Bombyx mori: one gene and its partner. The protein of the gene in region 1 purifies or fractionates together with the protein of each later gene. This does not show direct contact. Links are inferred from orthologs where the notes say so. Each region holds a gene or a part of one and is shown on either strand. Other genes may lie near its edges.

Evidence for each region.
Region 2: the proteins of synaptobrevin homolog YKT6 (region 1) and syntaxin 5A purify together in Homo sapiens (affinity purification with mass spectrometry; 3 studies listed by BioGRID and IntAct, with this or other methods). This does not show direct contact. The link is inferred for Bombyx mori from reciprocal best matches to the Homo sapiens genes YKT6 and STX5.

Annotation. Positions count from the first base shown.
Region 1 is NC_085124.1:7,753,438-7,764,753, forward strand, and holds synaptobrevin homolog YKT6, read left to right. Parts: upstream 1-3,746; 5' UTR 3,747-3,981; intron 3,982-4,088; 5' UTR 4,089-4,118; coding exon 4,119-4,715; 3' UTR 4,716-7,580; downstream 7,581-11,316. Other genes in the region: proteasome subunit beta type-2, read right to left, coding at 1,701-1,855, 1,967-2,129, 2,377-2,570, 2,773-2,878. UniProt on the Homo sapiens protein: Vesicular soluble NSF attachment protein receptor (v-SNARE) mediating vesicle docking and fusion to a specific acceptor cellular compartment. Functions in endoplasmic reticulum to Golgi transport; as part of a SNARE complex composed of GOSR1, GOSR2 and STX5.
Region 2 is NC_085118.1:10,679,449-10,688,837, reverse strand, and holds the end of syntaxin 5A, read left to right. Parts: exon of another isoform or gene 1-48; coding exon of another isoform or gene 49-54; exon of another isoform or gene 55-88; intron 89-275; coding exon 276-702; intron 703-1,350; coding exon 1,351-1,559; intron 1,560-3,764; coding exon 3,765-4,223; 3' UTR 4,224-4,248; downstream 4,249-9,389. Other genes in the region: barrier-to-autointegration factor B, read right to left, coding at 5,333-5,479, 6,315-6,440. UniProt on the Homo sapiens protein: Mediates endoplasmic reticulum to Golgi transport.

The DNA of each region.
Region 1 (11,316 bases):
CAATTCCCCAGAGAACTCCCCATGGATCATGTTACAAAACAAAGAGAACCGAAGTCCCTTCGTAGTTCAAACTCCAAGGTTCTAAATTATCCATGAGAACGTGATGAGATTATCGACAATCCAACCACTTCGATAAAGCGGCACGACACGAGAACCCTCTCATCGTGGCCGCCGGTAACTACATTCCCGATCCAGCGGACAGAATGGAAAACAGTCGACGTCGCCCAAAACACGTCATCTCGGATCCTCCTGATCCACTAACGGTGCTTCTAGGTACTTCAAGCACCCGTCACCGTTCTCGTCGAACCCGTCGCTTGCGACGAAGGGCTCGACGAGTAAATTAACCCTCAGACAGAGCCCACTGAGTTTCTCGCCGGATCTTCTCAGTGGGTCGCGATTCCGATCCGGTGGTAGATTCTGCGAAGCACGACTCTTGCTAGGGTTCGTGTTAGCATCGTCAACAGGCTTGAGCCCCGTGAGCTCACCTACTAGTTAAGGTTACGCTGGAATAGCCTCTCTAGGCTACCAGCTTAGGTAGGAAAAAAAAAAAAGACAATCCAAACGGCCGTCTTTTGCAAGGAGTTAAATGAAAGCAACTAGTAGTTGGGAGACCCGCCCAGAGTTGGGAACCCTACCCCACGCTAGGTCAGACATAGACCTTACAACTTATATCTCAAGGTGGGCGGCGCATTTACGTTGTAGATGTCTATGGGCTCCAGTAACCACTTAACACCAGATGGGCTGTGAGCTCGTCCACCCATCAAAGCAACAAAAAAAAATTATCTCATTGAAATAGTAATAGATAAGACGTAATGCTATAAACATGCTTATTACGTGAGAAGCAAGAGTATGCATTACTCTCGCGCAAGTTTTATTTTTACAGTATTCGTGCAAATTCTAAATTGCGGCGACATGACAAATATTCTTTCAATGAATTTTTAAAGGTCACTAAATTGAATTCATCTCATTTAGATATTCGCCTTAAAAGTTCTCGATGGATCGCATGACATTGATATGCAGGATGAAAAGCGTGGGGGAGACTGCAGTGCACTTAATGGAACACCCGTGTTAAAAGTCCTGGCATCGGAACAGCAATTGGCTTTTTTCAGTTCCTTGGAGATTCTGGAGAATGGTACACACAAAGGATGCCCACTGAACAGCCATGACTTTAATCATGACATCAGCTGCCAATCTCCAACGTAATGTAGGAGTCTGGTGCTAAGAACCTGCTCTATCATATTGGAAGATAAAGAAGTTATCAAGAGTAGTCTGTAACTATCCTAAAGGTTCTGACCCACGCTGCTTGGATCTCTACCCATGTCTACCCACATGAGTAGTAAATTTTTTTTATTGCCATGGTGGGCAGTTGAGTTTACGAACCACTTGGTGGTAAGTTGCTGATAGTCTGGCACTCAGGTGCACCATCAAACAGCTGCTACCTAAAGTAGTAATTATCTCTTAGGCTACTACTAAGAGAAAATATTCTACTTCTTAAAATATAACAACACAATTTTGAAATACATATAAGCCTATTATTATAATTAAGCCATAGTAATTACCAGTTAGAAAAAACAACCATCAAAGATATACCAGCTTGCAGTATGAATAATATTATGATGTTAAATGAATTTGATCACTAGTCATCTTACTCATAAAATTTATTCATTTAAAAGTTTATTTTCCATACAAAAAAGTGAAAATTATTGAAGAGATGCAGAATTAATGGTGGGCAGCACTTTAATCCCATCACGGTTTACAACAGTCACTTGGAAATTGGGGAGACTAACAAACAATCTTTTGTGAACTTCTTGAACACACTTCTTAAGGATGTCATATGCCTCTGTTTCTGTAGCATCTGAAATGAATAATGTTTTTATTTTGAGTTGCCACTTGATTAATACATTATTAAATTTATAAAATATTTTTACAGATGTTGAAATATAAACAAATATTATTAACTACTAACCTTTTTTATGGTAACGATCCATAATACTCAAACTTAGATATCCACCATAACCATGAGCTGCAAATGGTACCTTCACGCTTGATGCTAAATAGTCCATAAAATACAGTTCAGGTCCATTTTCTTTATCATAACCACCCATGAGCACATTTACAAAGTAGGGAGTCTGTAATTTTTTAGAATAAATATTGAAACTTCTCAACAGTACAAAAATTTTCAACTAATAGTTAATTCTATAGGTACAATAATTGATTAAGAATCAAGATTTTTTGTGGAGAATGTTCATCGTCATCATCAACGCACAATCGTCCACTGCTCGACACAGATCTCAATTCATACCACTGAGTCTTCAGCTCTCCGAAAAATAATAACTGTCATGAATCAATCATAATAGAAATAAAAACACAACTTACACTGCTCCTAAGATACTCTGCGAGATTACGACGTGTGAAACTGGCTGCAGCTGAGGGCCCCAATTCATACCCATTACGCATTTTATACAACTGAATATTTTTTGCAATATATTCAGCAAATTGATTTGTGTCTCCTGAGTCACCAATGACACCCATTACTAATCTATCAGATATCTTATAGATCTTTTCTTCATCTGTAAAATAGAATAAAAACTTTGATTATATAGTATAGTTTATTTGAAAAATTGGTATTAGAAGTTAGATTCCATTAGTACAAATAAAATGCCAAAAAGCAACCTAACAAGTTTACTTGAACCGTTTTTAGATCTGTTTTTATTTATAAAACTAATTTGATCTGAAAATACAGAGGATTCTGTTACAAATTTGCAAACTCACCGTCTTTCATGATCATAATGCTGTGGCTGTTGCTCTGATCGGCTGCTATCATAACAAAGTCGTTGCACTGTATTCCTAAGAGACATTGTAAGTTTATATTTGACATTTTGCAGTCGTATTACTTAATTAGCTTTCACTGCAAATAGTCTTTTCAAGATAGAGATACTTCAATCAATTGAACTGAATTATTTACTTAATTAACTTAGCTATTCTGCCTGTGCGGCCTTAAATTTCATAAATTGTCAAATCACTTTCAGTGTTGTCAGTGTTGAGAGTGTTGCGTGCATACCTTGGTATTGGTAGTAATTCATGGTTTCGGTTTTTTGGAGAAAAGTTGGAGCTATATTTCGTTTACCTATGTGATAGGAATTAATAAGTAGTTAAAATACAAAAAAGAAAGTGCACTAATGTGGGAAAATGAAACAAAGCTGCTGGACGTCACTTCTCGGGATCCTCCAAAAAGTCTCAGTAGATGACCACCATTTTATTAAGATTATATTTCATCCCATATCATCTCATCTCATTTCATTTGATTTCATACCAGTTGATTAATGTCTCGAATTAATAATCTTCATTTCATTTCATCATTTTTCATATAAATAAGAAAATAAATTAAAATAAAACATGACTTAAAGGTCTCTGGCGTTAATGAACGCACATTTTTATGATGCGTAAGCCGGAACGCACGAGATGTGGGAAAAAGAATATAGTCTGTGACACGGGACCTTTTTACCGCCAAATATTTAAAACGACAAATAATTTATAATGTGTTTAATAACTAATGTAATATAATTACTTAGAATTGTTTATGCCGCTACAACAATAAAATTTATATTGTTTCAACTGTGGTGTTAATTACATAAAACACGACTACGGCGAAATAAAGAAGGGACTCTATATGAGCTCCCTTAGGTCTTAGTTACCAGGTCATAAAATCCCTTAAAAAAATTCTTAATAATCTGTGAAAGAGATATTCTCATGACGTAGGCATTAAGACATTTATGACAAATAACCAAGGCCAAATAGTAAAAAATCACTTTTTACGATTTCACGAAGAAAAATTATCTTACAAATGTATTAAAATAATTTTAAGACTTTTGTCTGATTTCGGGTAATCTAATATTGTAGCACGTCCAAGATTGTACAAACGTAAAATTCATTCAGAAGGCTCATTTACGACGAATTAAACGACGAGCTATTGAATCTTGGGTAATATATTTTTTCTTTTATTTTGAATTCTTCTAATATATTTCTTAAAATTCAGACTTTTCATTATTTTTGTAGTTTTTCTGTATTAAAACTGTTTTAATTTTCAGAGACCGAGCGATAAAAATTATCTAACAAAAATGGTGAAAGTTTATGCACTACTTGTATTGTACAAAGGGATTAATAATGCATCCATTCTGAAAGGTGCTTATGATCTTCGGAGTTTTAGTTATTTTCAAAGAAGTTCAGTGCAAGAATTTATGACTTTTGTTAGTAAAACTATGGTAGAGAGGACACATCCAGCATCAAGGCAATCAGTTAAGGAAGGAGAGTATATGTTGCAAGTGTATGTGCGTGCAGATAATTTAGCTGGAGTATTGATATCCGATCACGAGTATCCTAACAGAGTAGCACACACTTTGATCACTAAAACTCTTGATGAGTTTACAGCTGCAGTTCCATCAAGCACTTGGGCTACGGGTAAAGAATCAACAATTGATTTTCCATCATTGGCTTTACATTTAGAAAAATACCAAAATCCCAAAGAAGCTGATGCATTGACGAAAATTCAAAATGATCTGGATGAAACGAAAATTATTTTACATGATACAATAAAAGCTGTACTTGAGAGAGGTGAGAAGTTAGATGATTTGGTTGCTAAGTCAGACAGCCTGTCGATGCACAGTAAAGCATTTTATAAGACTGCGGCAAAAACTAACAGTTGTTGTAATTTTTGAACAGTATATTATTATGATTAACTGTTAACAAAAATGGCCATAACTATTGTAGTATTGTTGATAGTTGCTGAATGCTATGTACTATTTAAAAAAATTATATGAGGTTTGATATAGCTTTTAGGGATTATAAAATATAATTGTATCTCTGATTAATCTGTAACCTGTCACTAAGAGAGTGGCAACTAGCCACAAATACTAAAACCAATTTTAGCAAAGGCTTGAAGAATTATCCTGACCCATCGAATTAAAAGTTCAAACAAATATTGAATCATCATCTTTTCCTTAAGAAATTTCCTTTTATGTTTGTCTGGAAGTTTGTTTCCTAAAATTTAAAAATTTTAGAGGGATAATTTATTTTATTACCTCTTGAGATTACGTTTGTGTTGTAAATTATGATTGTAACTCTAAATCATACAATTATGGCTAAGAGCCAAGAAAAAAAAAAATTAGTTGAAGACTTTTGGGTTTGTTAGAATTGGAGAGCAACATAATTATTAACATTACAACATTATTATTTATATTATTGAGTAATTTAAGAGCAGTGAGTTTAATGTTTAAACTACAAATGGGTCATCATGTCATACTAATTAAAATTGATTATTCCAAAGTAGTATAGTATATCATGAAAATAACTCTAAGGTACCAAGTGTACATATGTTGTAACTTGTTATTCTGTTGCAGATTACTGTAGTATACTTGAATTCTTAACTAATTAAATTTTTGGTCTTAATTGCAATTGTTAAACAAGTCCAGATGCAGACATTTTGAATTATTTTCATCATCACAATGAATGTCGACTTACAGTATTGGTCTAAGGTCTAATAAATGGGTTAAGGATCGTGTGATTTCATTGCAATAATGTACAAAAAACCATGCACAAAACATTTGCAATAACAGCTTAGAAAAGAAAGATTGTGAAAGTGACTTATTTCATGGTTTTTACTAAAATTTAAATGTGAGCTTTATTTAAGTGATAAATGGTTAAATAGGAATAGAAGTTTAACAATTCAGAGAAAAATGTTATAATTATGAATTATGAAGTCTTCTTATTGCATTCCTCAAAAATGATGTTGTTAAAAAATAAATATATCTATGTATGAAAAAATTATTAATGGTAATGTATAGGCCAGTTATTAAAGAAAAATTTGATCAAATGCTGCAGTTTATCAAATTCGATTATATTATACAAGTTGAAGTAGTTTGCAAAATTGATCTGAACTGTTGGGATGATGTAACAATATTCCGATAATAGCTAGCCATTAGGAGAAAATTGCCATTCAAGAGTTGAATTCGTGACATTAATTTTAACAGGCAAGAATGATCTGTTCTGCTCTTAATTAAGAAATTCGTTATCAGCAGGCTTGTTTATAGGCATATTATTTATTATGTGCAAATATAAAGACATTGCACTGAGAATGTTTAATATTTTGAAAATATTCAATTCTTCAATTGCATCACAACTGCTAAACAAGTTTGATCTAGTGAGTCTGTGACACTATTCATTCAGTCACAACCAAAGTTCATTCATAACCCTTGCAGAGGTGTCGGTCATAATCACACGTTTAGGATTACACATGGTGGATGCATTACATACAGTGCCTGAAACAAATTCTGTATAATGCAATGGGATAAAATCGTGATGATCATGTTTGCTTCCATTGCCATCTTTATAGCAATATATAGATATTGTCAAAGGCATGGGAGCCTGTTTGTAGCTAGCATTTGGTATTAAAATAATAGTAAAGAACAGGAACAAATGTAACTATAGTATCATATTTACCATCTATAAACAATTGAAAATCATTTAGTATTGGCGTCAGTTGCCTGAATGGCAACATGAAGACGTGATATTTTTGTGCTCATACTCATGAATCTTTTATATTGCTTTTTCGTTAACATGTTGAACGCCACATGAAAAATCGACTATTTTCATTCAGGCCATGATGCTCACCGGTGAGCCTTTTACTGGTGATAGCACGTCTTGTGAGTCTGCACTGGTATGTACCATCGTCCTGCCTATATCTTCCACCCATCTAAGCAATAAAAAAAAGCCTTATCGTAGTGAAACGTTCGGCCATGAGGCTCGCCCGGGAGTCACGCGAGGGTTCCAACGTAAACGCTTCCTACACACAAATTGCAGCTATCAAACAAAACGCGTATGAAAGTGAGCCGCGTGGCCCTTTAACCAAACCGAACGCCTTGGTTTTCAAATCCCATAGAAAGTTGGTTCTTATCAAGATTATTTATTGCCTTTTAAAATATCTTAAAAACTAGCCTGTAAAATTCGCTAATTTTCACCATCCGTGCAAATTATCGCATTTTATATATTTTAGAATTCAAATCTAGTTGTTAAAAATTACTGATTCCCTGATTTTGGCTTGGCCTGAATGGTATAGTAAGTACGCTAGGCCCTTAAGTGGGCCGCATGGCATTCAAGGTGTTAATGAAGAAAAAAAAGAGAAAAACAGTTACATTTTATTTTTATCATTATAAATGTAAACAAGCCTTAGGATATGTTAAAAGTTAATGAAACCTATGAAATATGTATGTAATTTGAAAATTATGAAATGTAAAGAAACGCTGATGTGAATAGGGAAATTCCCTTTTTTGGTGTTAAGGCTTAACAGTTAAGCAGAAAAAGATCTATATTTAATGTACTAATCTAAATCGAACATATTGTACCTTCAATAGTATATTATATTTATCTGCAATGTAGGTTAAAACATACTTTATTTTGGGTGATAATTTTATTACATTACCAAATAAATAATTAGAATGTTAAAGAACGATGTGTATGTGTTGAAGAGTCGGATTCCAATTGTATATCCATTATTGTAACTAAATATAGTCGAATGTTTGCTGTTATCTTTATGTTTTTATTCTGTTCATTACCTTTATTCCAAAAAGTTGTGTTTCCGCCCCTACTAATAAAGGTAGTGTAACATTAAAATCATTTATTGTGTTTCTAAGAATATGAATTAAGCAAAGAGAGAATACAAAAAGTTAATACAGATGTGCATTGCCTATACAAATACTTGGATGGCGAAAAAGTGTCAATCTCATAAAGATATGAGATTTTTTGTCAACACCTAAAAGGTGAGACCCGGTGTATTGTTATCAAGCGATGCCACTGTCGTATTCAAGATTAGGCGATGCTACTAACAAAGGGAAGTACTGATTTTTTTTAGGATTTTTTTTTCATAATGGCGGACTCCATATTTTGACTCCAATTGCAAATAAATTATCTTTTTTTATGAATGAGGCCTTTACCTTTTTATCAGGACAGGTGCGCGAGCATAGTCTCGGTCAGGAGGGGTGCACAGCAGCCAAAGCGCCTCCAAAGCAGACCTAACAACTCAAGAGCAGTTGCTTCGCGAAGGTCCCACAGAAAATCCAGCGAGAAACTCAGCGGGCTGTTTCAGTTAGGTTGCACGTCGGACCCTTTGCCGAGTTCGATGAGCACTTACCGGGGTCCCTAAACCTGCTCCTAGTGTTAGAGCTGAAGACGTCTAATGCAAGAGTTCTTGGATCTAATGGATCCGTAAGGACGTGCTTAGGGCGTCGACGGTGACTTGCTTCTGCGTGATCAGGATTCGGGGTGTAGTCAGAGGCGGCGTCAGCATTATCATGACGCATTGTAACAAGATTTCAAACACGGCGTGTCGTGACCGAAATGATAAAAAGATTCAAGGTGTAATTCGATTAAACGATACGACTATGGCAATGTTCGAAGAACGTAAACAGCAGTTTTTTTTAATGCAATGCTGACCTTACACTGGTTTATAAAACACTTCCGTGGTGGGATAACGTGTAAACATGTAAAATAGAAATCGACACGAATTGTATAATTACTGAGACGTGATGGGCCCGCGCTGGTAGATTAACTTAATTTTGATTGTTTTTATTTTACAAATTGTTAATTTGTTTATGTAGCAAGTCCAAGAGTTTTTACTGGTGGTAGGACCTCTTGTGAGTCCGCGCGGGTGGGTACCACCATCCTGCCTATTTCTGCCGTGAAGCAGTAATGCGTTTCGGTTTGAAGGGTGGGGCAGTCGTTGTTTACTGGTGGTAGGACCTCTTGTGAGTCCGCACGGGTGGGTACCACCACCCTGCCTATTTCTGCCGTGAAGCAGTAATGCGTTTCGGTTTGAAGGGTGGGGCAGCCGTTGTAACAACACTTGAGACCTTAGAACTTATATCTCAAGGTGGGTGGCGTATTTACGTTGTGGATGTCTATGGGCTCCAGTAACCACTTAACACCAGGTGGGCTGTGAGCTCGTCCAACCACCTAACCAATAAAAAAACTTCAGAGGTGTCAAGGGACACCCGGATGGAACGAAGTTCCTTTCGATTAATTAGTGAAGGAATTGTAATTTTTTTTTAAAGTTATTGTAATAAATTACGGCATTATGAAGAAGAAAAAAACAATACTATGAACTAAATGACTATTGTTGAAACGCTATCTCGAGAAACTGTACTCATTACGCGGACCAATCGGATACGAGCAATGTCACGCGATAAGCGCCTACACGTTGATTGGTCAGAATGACGGATCTAAAAAGTGTCGTGACAACTTTTCGTAAGAATTTTTTCCGTCTAGCCCCCTTTCACAACGCGGGATAAGGAACTTCGTTCCAAAAAAAAAAATGTGTTCAGATTTCATTTCTATTATACTATAGCCATAACATAGCCTTTCTACTACACAAACATTCATTATTCAAAAATGGTGCGGGATTGACGTCTATTTTCGTCAACTGTACGGAATGGCTCAGCGTGCGGAATAAAAATAATACCCAGCACATTTTATTTTTATCACAAATAAAAGAACCAGGTGAAATAAAAATACATATATTAATTACATCAATATTAAATTACAGCCAACATAACTATGTAAGGTTACATTAATAAAAATATACCTATATAATTTTCATTGAAACAAATAAATAATAAAACAAGGTATTTTATTTCTTACAAGTAATACCTAAATCTAAAAATCATTGACTATAAGGATTCGCGATTGTGGAGTAAGGTAACATTTTTAAAACAATCCACCTACAAGCAAGGGAGCTCACTTATAGTTTACATAGAGTTTATATTATGGAATTTACTCATTAATTCTATAATTAATTAATAGTACTTAATGAGCATGGATATTGAAATAATCGACACACAACATTTTGAATTTTTTTTTTTCGCGCGAAGATTTCTTTTTCCACTAAATGCATTTACGGCTTTGGTGTGATATAACACAGTAACTTAATGATGGTTAATATTTATTTTTCAAATTTGGATCTTAATAATATGTGTGTATGAATTTATCTGGAAGAACTACAAGGAATAATTTTTAATTGACCGAGTGCATTTATAAATTGTTTTATTTGCTATGCACTATACATAAATGTTTTTATTTTGGTCTCGTGCCAGACAAATACGAGTTTTTAGACGGTTCTAGTTACATATTGTACCGATTTTTCCATTATCCATGTAACCTAAATAGAAAGAGTTGGTATTACGATATTATTACCATTTTGCAGCTAAATTTTTGGCATCAAGCAATAAGAGGAAAAAAGGAAAAGACTAACGTAATAGCTTTGGAATAGACAACCAGTAAGGTTGTGTTACTGAATTTGTCGCTATCAAGTTGAACCAAAAACGATAACAACTTCCACGAATAAGTTGGACAGTCTACATAATATTTTTGTTGTTGACAATGTTCATATTAATTACTAGATATATCAATCTGTTTATGTTGATTCTTATAATGTTGGAAGAATTATTGTTATGTCTGGAGCGACGTTTAAACAAATTAGTTATTTTTAAAATTAGCATTTGCGTTTCAAATACGTTTTTATGACATAAGATCTACACATAGGATTCATTTTTACAGTTTGTACGAGGTAATTACAGTTACTACTTGAATATATTGATTCACTTCATTCACTTCTATTATTAATAGTATTGAGTGCCACACAGATTCAGAAATAATCACTTCTCTAACTGTTCAAACAGATAATGAATCAGCAAAAACATTACATTAATAGCTGTAATTGTGCAGATCTCTATATAATATTGATATAAAAATGTTAATTAATCAAACAAATGAAACTTAATGTTTTTTTACAAATAAAATTCATGAACAAACCTATTGGAAAGGAAATATTGAAAGGACAACAAATGAGAACGATAGAGGCTCAAAATAAAGTATTAAAGATTATTTACAACGAAATTTAACATTTTTACCCAGTCGTAGCCAACGTAGAGATACATTGTAGGAAATAGTGAAGAGGTTAGAAAACTGCAAATATATAAATGCCCTTTTAAAATATTCCACAAGGAAAATATAACGTCAATATAGATTCTCCATTTATTTCACACTACTTAAAATTATATTCTAATGATAAGAGATTTCACTATTCAAGTCTTACAATATATCTCTTTATTTAACACTCAAGTGTTTGTTATACATCTATGTTCTAGTATTACTTTTAAAATATGTTACATGTTCCCACTTGTTTTTTTTTTTATTTGTAAAATGGTGGATGACATGTCTGACTCTATTAGAAAACTTTAACAGAGTTCTGTTTCCGGTTCAAGTAAAATA
Region 2 (9,389 bases), on another chromosome or scaffold:
AGAATCGATGAGATGAAATGATAAATATTGTACACACATGAATGTACTATGAAAGTACGTAATTATTTGAACGCTATTGGTTTTCTAAGTAAGTATTGGAATGTAAAATTGTGAAATACTGCCTCAATTATGTAAATTGTAAGTTTTCATTTTCAAACAAAATATCCCCAATCATTAACAAGTAAAGCATATGTGTGGTGTAACAGTACTGTTTGACTTAATGTAATTTACTTATCAAACAAAGTTGACAACGTTTTTTCTGTAAAACTTTATAGGTGAAGACTGAAGACTACAATGCGATGCTTCCTCGAAGGCGAAATATAGGCGTTACAGAAAGACTCTTGGAAACAGAAACGGATTCATACAATAAATTAGATAAGAAAGGTGTTCATTACGGGGAATCGCGGCCTTACGAGAACTCATCAAATTCCAAATCAACATTGATTCTTAAATCATCTGACCAGGACGTGTTTAAATTTTTAGAAGAATTTGTTTTTGAACCAGTTATGGCTTCAAGAGATAGAACAAGTGAATTCATTTCAACTGTACGCAGTCTCCAAGGACGTTTCTTAAACAAACCAACCGTAAGAGATGATAGAAAAGCTGCTGTGTTGGAAACTTACTCCCAATTCATGAGTATGGCAAAAGTAATTAGTAAGAATATTACTAGTACATATACCAAATTGGAAAAGTTAGCCTTGTGTAAGTATTTTAAATGATTCAGGCATAAGTCCAATATGAAGTGTTATATTCTTTTCATTTATTGCTTTTATAAAATGTTAAATAAACATTTTTTTTTAATAAGATGTAAAAGAAACGCTACATTTGCTATAAACTAGGTACAAAGAAATTGTTCTCTAAAATGAAGTTAGGTCATAGAGGTAATGATACCAATACAAACAAAAATTGCCCTACAAGATTTATATTTTATGTATGTTACTGTATATCAAATCATGAAATTCAAAATTAATATTGTGAAAAAAAATAACAAAATAACTTCTTCAGCTACCTAAATGAATGAAGTAAAATTAATTGAAGTTCAACCAATCATGTGAAATTCAAGTGAAAACATCGAACTGTTGATGGTAATATCAAATAAAAACGTTAATTACTGAGATAAATGTAGTGTATTGAGCGAAACGTCTTTTAAACCAAACAGCCTTTCACTCCTCAATATATATAAAATATAAAAAATGAATATATCAAGAATATGATAACAGTCATTTACCACTAAGTTAATCTTAGTTTACAATTTATGACAAATTAATTAAACAACATCCCTTTGTAATCAGATTATTTTACAGTTCTTATAGGAAAATTTACTTGAAATGTTTAATAATTGTGTTGCAGTGGCTAAGAGGAAATCATTATTTGATGACCGTCCCACAGAAATTCAAGAACTAACTTATATTATTAAAGGAGACTTAAATTCTTTAAATCAACAAATTGCCAGACTAGGTGAAATGCCAAGAGGTCGTCGCAGTATGCACAGTCATTCATCTAGTGTTGTACTCGCATTACAGTCACGCCTTGCTTCAATGAGTAATCAATTTAAACAGGTAATTTGTTCCTACATATAATTGGTTCCTGGATATTTAAAACTTTGTAAAAATGGTTTATGCTCTTCTGAATTAACAATACCAAGTAAACTGATATGCTTTCATAAATATGAAGCTAAATTTATAAGCATATATATAGGAGCACGTTGCTAGAGTTGGCGAGCGATTAAAGAGCTATCCCTCCGGGAGCCGTGCTTTTTGGTCGCTCGCCAAAGCTGCAGAAGGAAACTTTTGCAGGTCTAGTCTCCCACCACTGCGCAAGTCCGATGACACTCTGGCCCACAGCGCGAAAGAGAAGGCTGACCTTCTGGTCAAACTCTTCGCCTCGAACTCAACTGTGGACGACGGGGGTGCCACACCACCGAACATCCCCTGGTGTGATAGTTCCCTGCCGGAGATCTGCTTTACACAGTGTGCAGTCAGGCGGGAACTCCGACTCCTGGACGTCCATAAGTCGAGTGGGCCAGACGGCATCCCTGCAGTGGTTCTGAAAACGTGCGCCCCTGAGCTGACACCTGCGCTAACGCGTTTGTATCGCCTCTCTTATTGCGCTAACAGGGTTCCGTCTTCATGGAAGACCGCCCACGTCCACCCTATCTCCAAGAAGGGTGACCGGTCGGACCCGTCGAGCTATAGGCCTATCGCGATAACTTCCTTGCTTTCCAAGGTGATGGAGCGAATAATAAATACACAACTCCTGAAGTATCTTGAGGATCGCCAGCTGATCAGTGACCGACAGTACGGTTTCCGTCACGGTCGCTCAGCTGGCGATCTTCTTGTATACCTTACTCACAGGTGGGCTGAAGCCTTGGAGAGCAAGGGCGAGGCTCTTGCTGTGAGCCTTGATATCGCGAAGGCCTTCGACAGGGTCTGGCATAGGGCACTTCTATCGAAGCTACCATCTTACGGAATCCCCGAGGGTCTCTGCAAGTGGATCGCTAGCTTTTTGGATGGGCGGAGCATCACGGTCGTTGTAGACGGTGACTGTTCTGATACCATGACCATTAACGCTGGCGTTCCACAAGGTTCGGTGCTCTCCCCCACGCTTTTCATCCTGTATATCAATGACATGCTGTCTATTGATAGCATGCATTGCTATGCGGATGACAGCACGGGGGATGCGCGATATATCGGCCATCAGAGTCTCTCTCGGAGCGCGGTGCAAGAGAGACGATCAAAACTTGTGTCTGAAGTGGAGAACTCTCTGGGGCGAGTCTCCGAATGGGGTGAATTGAACTTGGTTCAATTCAACCCGATAAAGACACAAGTTTGCGCGTTCACTGCGAAGAAGGACCCCTTTGTCATGGCGCCGCAATTCCAAGGAGTATCCCTGCAACCTTCCGAGAGTATTGGGATACTTGGGGTCGACATTTCGAGCGATGTCCAGTTTCGGAGTCATTTGGAAGGCAAAACCAAGTTGGCGTCTAAAATGCTGGGAGTCCTCAACAGAGCAAAGCGCTACTTCACGCCTGGACAAAGACTTTTGCTTTATAAAGCACAAGTCCGGCCTCGCGTGGAGTACTGCTCCCATCTCTGGGCCGGGACTCCCAAATACCAGCTTCTTCCATTTGACTCCATACAGAGGAGAGCCGTTCGGATTGTCGACAATCCCATTCTCACGGATCGTTTGGAGCCTCTGGGTCTGCGGAGGGATTTCGGTTCCCTCTGTATTCTGTACCGTATGTTCCATGGGGAGTGCTCTGAGGAATTGTTCGAGATGATACCGGCATCTCGTTTTTACCATCGCACCGCCCGCCACCGGAGTAGAGTTCATCCATACTACCTGGAGCCACTGCGGTCATCCACAGTGCGTTTCCAGAGATCTTTTTTGCCACGTACCATCCGGCTATGGAATGAGCTCCCCTCCACGGTGTTTCCCGAGCGCTATGACATGTCCTTCTTCAAACGAGGCTTGTGGAGAGTATTAAACGGTAGGCAGCGGCTTGGCTCTGCCCCTGGCATTGCTGAAGTCCATGGGCGACGGTAACCACTCACCATCAGGTGGGCCGTATGCTCGTCTGCCTACAAGGGCAATAAAAAAAAAAAGCCCAATTTAGTTCTTTGAAATTTTACTGATCTATATTATACTGTTCCACTTTTTTTTCGTAAAAGTTCACCATATTTTAAGTTTAGCTGTTTAATTATGAACGAAATTAAAGTCAGAAAATTTTATGATGTAATGAACTTATAAATTAATGTTTGCAGGTCTTAGAAGTTCGTTCAGAAAATTTGAAGCAACAGAACAGCAGGCGTGAACAATTTTCAAGGGTGACACCGGTTGTAAAAGAGGTACCATCTCTATTGCAACAAGATGAAGTAAGCATAGATTTGGGTGAAGCTACAAGTTTACAAGCACAGCAATTTGCATTCAGAGATGATACAGACTCATATGTACAACAGAGAGCTGAAACTATGCATAACATTGAAAGCACTATTGTGGAGTTGGGAGGCATATTTCAACAATTGGCTCATATGGTAAAAGAACAAGATGAAGCTATTGGTAGAATTGATGCAAACATTCATGAGGCAGAAATGAATGTTGAAGCTGGCCACAGAGAAATATTGAAATATTTCCAAAATGTAACTGGAAATAGGGCGTTAATGTTTAAAGTTTTTGGGGTTTTAATATTCTTTTTCATATTTTTTGTGGTGTTTATGGCTTAATAAAAAATAACTATTAAAAACTTAATTATTAATTTCAATTATTTCTTTTCCAATTTAAATGGCATCCAAGGCCCACTTCTACATATATGCATGATGTAAACATTACCCTAAACTATGATAGATGAAATTAAAATATATTTGGTAATGATTTAACTTTGCACGGCCGCCCATGGATCAGTACTACTAATAAGAGCCTAGGGGCCCTGCCGCGCTTCTGATTATCGTAATGGATGCATGGATTAATTACTGTTGCACCATTGACCTTGGTATTCCATTGTAATATTATGATGAAATGTGATGTAATGATGCATGGACTAAACTGGTGATGTTATTATCCATTTACTACAAACATATACCACATATGACATTATACTGAATGTATTCCAACCAATACCAAAAAGAAGGTAGCAATTATGAACATCTACATGATTTAAAAAACATTACATTATTTACAATTGAAATATATTGTCTAAGCTTTTTAGATATGCTATAAAATAAATAACAATTGACGCACTTCTTATTTTGATCCCTTAATAATTTACTCCTGTCTCTAACATTGCAGTAAGATATTCTGTAATGATGCATTCTGCACTGAACGAATATATTTCTGCTATTCCAATGAAAGTTAATGATTTTCATTGAGATTAACTCAATGAAAATTACTGCACCCACTCAATACTGTGATGCTTATTGGCATCTAAACATTAGGTGAGTGATATCATATGGTTATGCAAATATAGGTCATAAAAATGACGCACTTCTTAGAAAAGTAGACATTCTAAGAAATAGCTTAATAAAGTAAAATAGTTGAAAAACATTATGAGAACATATATTTGATTCTTTTGCAAAATATTTGGATTACTATTTATTGTTTTATAAATAAATTCAAGTCATTGTCATAAATAACAGAAGACTTCGTGTTTTTCCAGCAAAGATTATATTTAATTACTCTTAATTGGGACTTTATTTCTTCAACATTTTTAAATATTAAATAATACAAATAATTATTGTAGAACATATATTTTACTTATGTAGTCTTAAAATTACATTATGTACATTATTTCAAACAATGCAATAATAAAATATAATAAATGTTATATGGATAAAAATTACAAAAACTCATCACACCAATCCTTCAAACACTGATAACAATCTGCTGACTGTTTAGAGTTTGCACTGCAGGCGTCCTTCATCCATTCTTGAAATAACTCTTTATCTTTCTTTAGTACCAAAAATTGACCCAAGACGACATAGGCCTGAAAATGGTAAGTGTTATTTTATGATACATAATATAGTAAATGAGAAAAATAAAAAGGGAACAAATGTAATTATATTATATACTAGCTGACCCGGCAGAATTCGTAGTGCCTCAATCGATGAATAAAATACATTCTTATTTTTATTTAATTCCGAGCATTTTCATATTTATCTACCTTTTAAACCTTCTCTGGACTTCCACAAATACTCCAAGACCAAAATTAGCCAAATCAGTCCAGCTGTTCTCAAGTTAGCGAGACTAACGAACAGCAATTCATTTATATATATAGATTTTGGTATTAAAACTGTTATCTTGCTAGTAATTTTAATGAAAATTGCATCCAAAATCTGAAGACTATGTAAGAATGAATTAATCTTGGCATTTTCACGAAACTAATACATTTCACATTAGGGTAACTAACACTAGTTTAATGCAGAAACATTACTGCTTTGTAGTTGTTCTTGATTTATCTTTTTTTAACACCTAGGTATACATGTAATTGGTCATCTTGGAGGGCAAGGAAGCTAAGCAACATTTTTTTTAAAGATTTTATTCCATAATTGATTACTGCTTAATAACAACATTCTTTATACGATTTCTATCACAATTAATCTATGCAGGATTTAATTTAACTCTTAATGAAATAGTACTGAAATTTATTCTCAAGTTTAAAACACCTGCTTAAAGATATTGCATTAAACAGTTTTCCGAGCAGTATATATATGTAAAGATCAATTTTCAATTTGATAAGATTATTTTAAAACATTTAGGATCACTTGAGCATTGATGAAACATACAAAAGCTGCACTTTTGAGATAAAATTATACTGTAACCTTATCGAAGCCCCCGGTTTCAAGTCGTTTTCCTAAAACTTCACCCACGCCCGCCAATTCTGTTACTGGTTTCTCACCCATTGGCTCAGCAACAAAGTTTCTATGTTTTTGTGATGTACTCGACATTTTCGTAAAAAACTTTGTTTATTGTACTTATAGAAAGAAACAAATTTTATATTTGTCTATCTTTACGAAGTTTATTAGTTTTTTTGTGTATTTTGTTGTCATAAACTTAATTAAGTGTACCCTGTGTACCTATCTCGAATATATTAAGTGTATAATCTATGGTACCTATGTTTATGTATTATCTATGGACTTTTTGGCGGGAACGCGAGGAGTGAAGTTGTGTGATTTGTTTTATTTTGTCTATTTAGTGTTTCTTCAGGTTTAAATGTGTAATAATGGTGGTTTATTAACTGTTTGATATCTGTGAAAGTGCACAAATGTGGGAAAATGAAACAAAGCTGCTGGACGTAACTTCTCGGGTTCCTCCAAAAAGTCCACTGAAAAAATCTCAGTAAATGACCACCATTTTACTGCGATTATATCTCATCCCATATCATCTCATTTCATTAAATTTCATCCCAGTTGATTAATGTTTCAAATTAATCATCTTCATTTCATTTCACTCCATATTATCATTTTTCATAAAATTAAGAATATAAAGTAAAATAAGACATGACTTAAAGGTCTTAGTTACCAGGTCATAAAATCTCTTAAAAAAAAATTTATTATCTATGGGACTTTTTGGCGGGAACGCGAGCAGTGAAGTTGTGTGATTTGTTTTATTTTGTCTATTTAGTGTTTCTTCAGGTTTAAATGTGTAATAACGGTGGTTTATTAACTGTTTAATATCTGTGAAAGTGCACAAATGTGGGAAAATGAAACAAAGCTGCTGGACGTAACTTCTCGGGTTCCTCCAAAAAGTCCACTGAAAAAATCTCAGTAAATGACCACCATTTTACTGCGATTATATTTCATCCCATATCATCTCATTTCATTAAATTTCATCCCAGTTGATTAATGTCTCAAATTAATCATCTTCATTTCATTTCACTCCATATTATCATTTTTCATAAAATTAAGAATATAAAGTAAAATAAGACATGACTTAAAGGTCTTAGTTACCAGGTCATAAAATCTCTTAAAAAAAAAAATGTATTATCTATGCTTTGTTATTTATTTTATTTCACGATTGGACTGGCAACGGGAACCTAGGCTTTTGTAATAAGGGTTAAAATATGAAATTGCCTTTTTGTTGTAATAGGTACTTCGAATTAACAAAGAGCCTTCATGGTTTGAGATTTTTGAGTAAAACTGTTGGAATTTCTATTTAACCGTCCAACAAAAACTTTTTACAAATGGTATGGTACCTATGAGGTTCTTCTTTTAAAAAAAGTGCAAGATTCGGTTAAAGACTTTCAGTTGTTTTTTTTATTCAGCTTAGACAAGAAAGATGGATACTTCGAAAATTCGAATGATTTTTGAATAAAAGATCCGACGCGGAACTAACGCTGCCGAAACAGCTCGCAATGTCAATGTTGCGTTTGGAGAGATGCCTGTGATATGAATTAAAATAGTATGTAAGATAATATTGTTGTTTTATTTGCATTCAACCATTATAATTTTATGAAACATTACGTTCATATTAAAATCAATACACCAGAATATTAATGACAGAAATGTTTTTAAAAACAAACGCTTATTAATGGCCAGTATGTATAATTTCGTGCAAGTAGGTTACGTTAGCTCTTCAACAGACTGCTAATGGACGCACCGTGCGATTTTGGTTTAATCGCTTTTAAGATGGAAATTTTGATTTGAAGAACGAACCACGTAGAAGACCGTCCACACGTGTGAATAATAATGAATTGAAAGAGATACATAGTGGAAGCCGATCCGAGCCAAACTACCCAGGAATTAGCGGCATGGTTTAACGTTAGTTACCTTAACAACAATATTGACTCATTTGCGTCAAATCAATAAAATAAAAAAATTCCTATGAAAAATGGGTGCCGCATGATTTGACTGATCTGCAGAAAGAAAGGCATGTTGAAACTTGTGTTGCCTTGTTGAATCGATACAGAAATGAAGGAATATTGGATCGAATTGTGACATGTGATGAAAAGTGGATTCTATATTCTACTCTAATTCCTAAATACTCATACAATAATATCATTATCGTCATCATCATATTCAGCCCACAGTCGTGCACTACAGGACATAGGCCCTATGACATGAATTTAATAGTTTTAAACTACTTATAGGTTGAAGCCTTTTTACCTAGATGTGGTAACCGCTTTTTTGTTGCCAGAACCTGTTTGTTTAAATACATCGATGGAAAAGTCAATCTATTATTACATGTAAGCTACAATGTAATGTTAAATTAAAAAAAAAATGTTCTCGTAATTAGAGAGTATTGATTGAATATTAAATTTTCTTATGAGATAGTACTCAAACGAAGTTAGACGGATGCAGGGTGGCGCATTTAACTCGGAGCGCATCTCGCTTTGCTATGATATCACACGGGTTGTCATCCTTAACGACTATCTGAAATCCACGGGTATGGCAACGACATGAAAGGAAAGTTTTAAGTTCTTAAAAAAAAAAAAATTGCTTAGATGGGTGGACCATCTCACAGCCCACCAGGTGGTAAGTGGTTACCGGAGTCCATAGACATCAACAACGTAAATGCTGCCACTCACCATGAAATATGAGTTTTAAGTCTCAATTCTTCAGTACAACGGCGGACGCATGCTTCAAACCGAAACGAATTACTGCTTCATGGCCGATATAGGCCGGGTCATGGTACATACCTACTCGTGCGCATTCACAAGGTGCCCTATCACATAACTATGCATCTTTTAATTTTTGTGAGTTTGCTTTTTATTTCTTATTGTTATTCCTCCACTGTGGAAGTCAATTATGAACACTTCTTATATACATACACACTTACGTATTTCATTACAAAAATTCGTACCTGTTTGCGGGATTCACAGTTGCAGCGTTTGATACGAATGCATCGGGAATCATATCACACTTCAAGAACCAAGAACTCCAAGACTAATGGCTTTA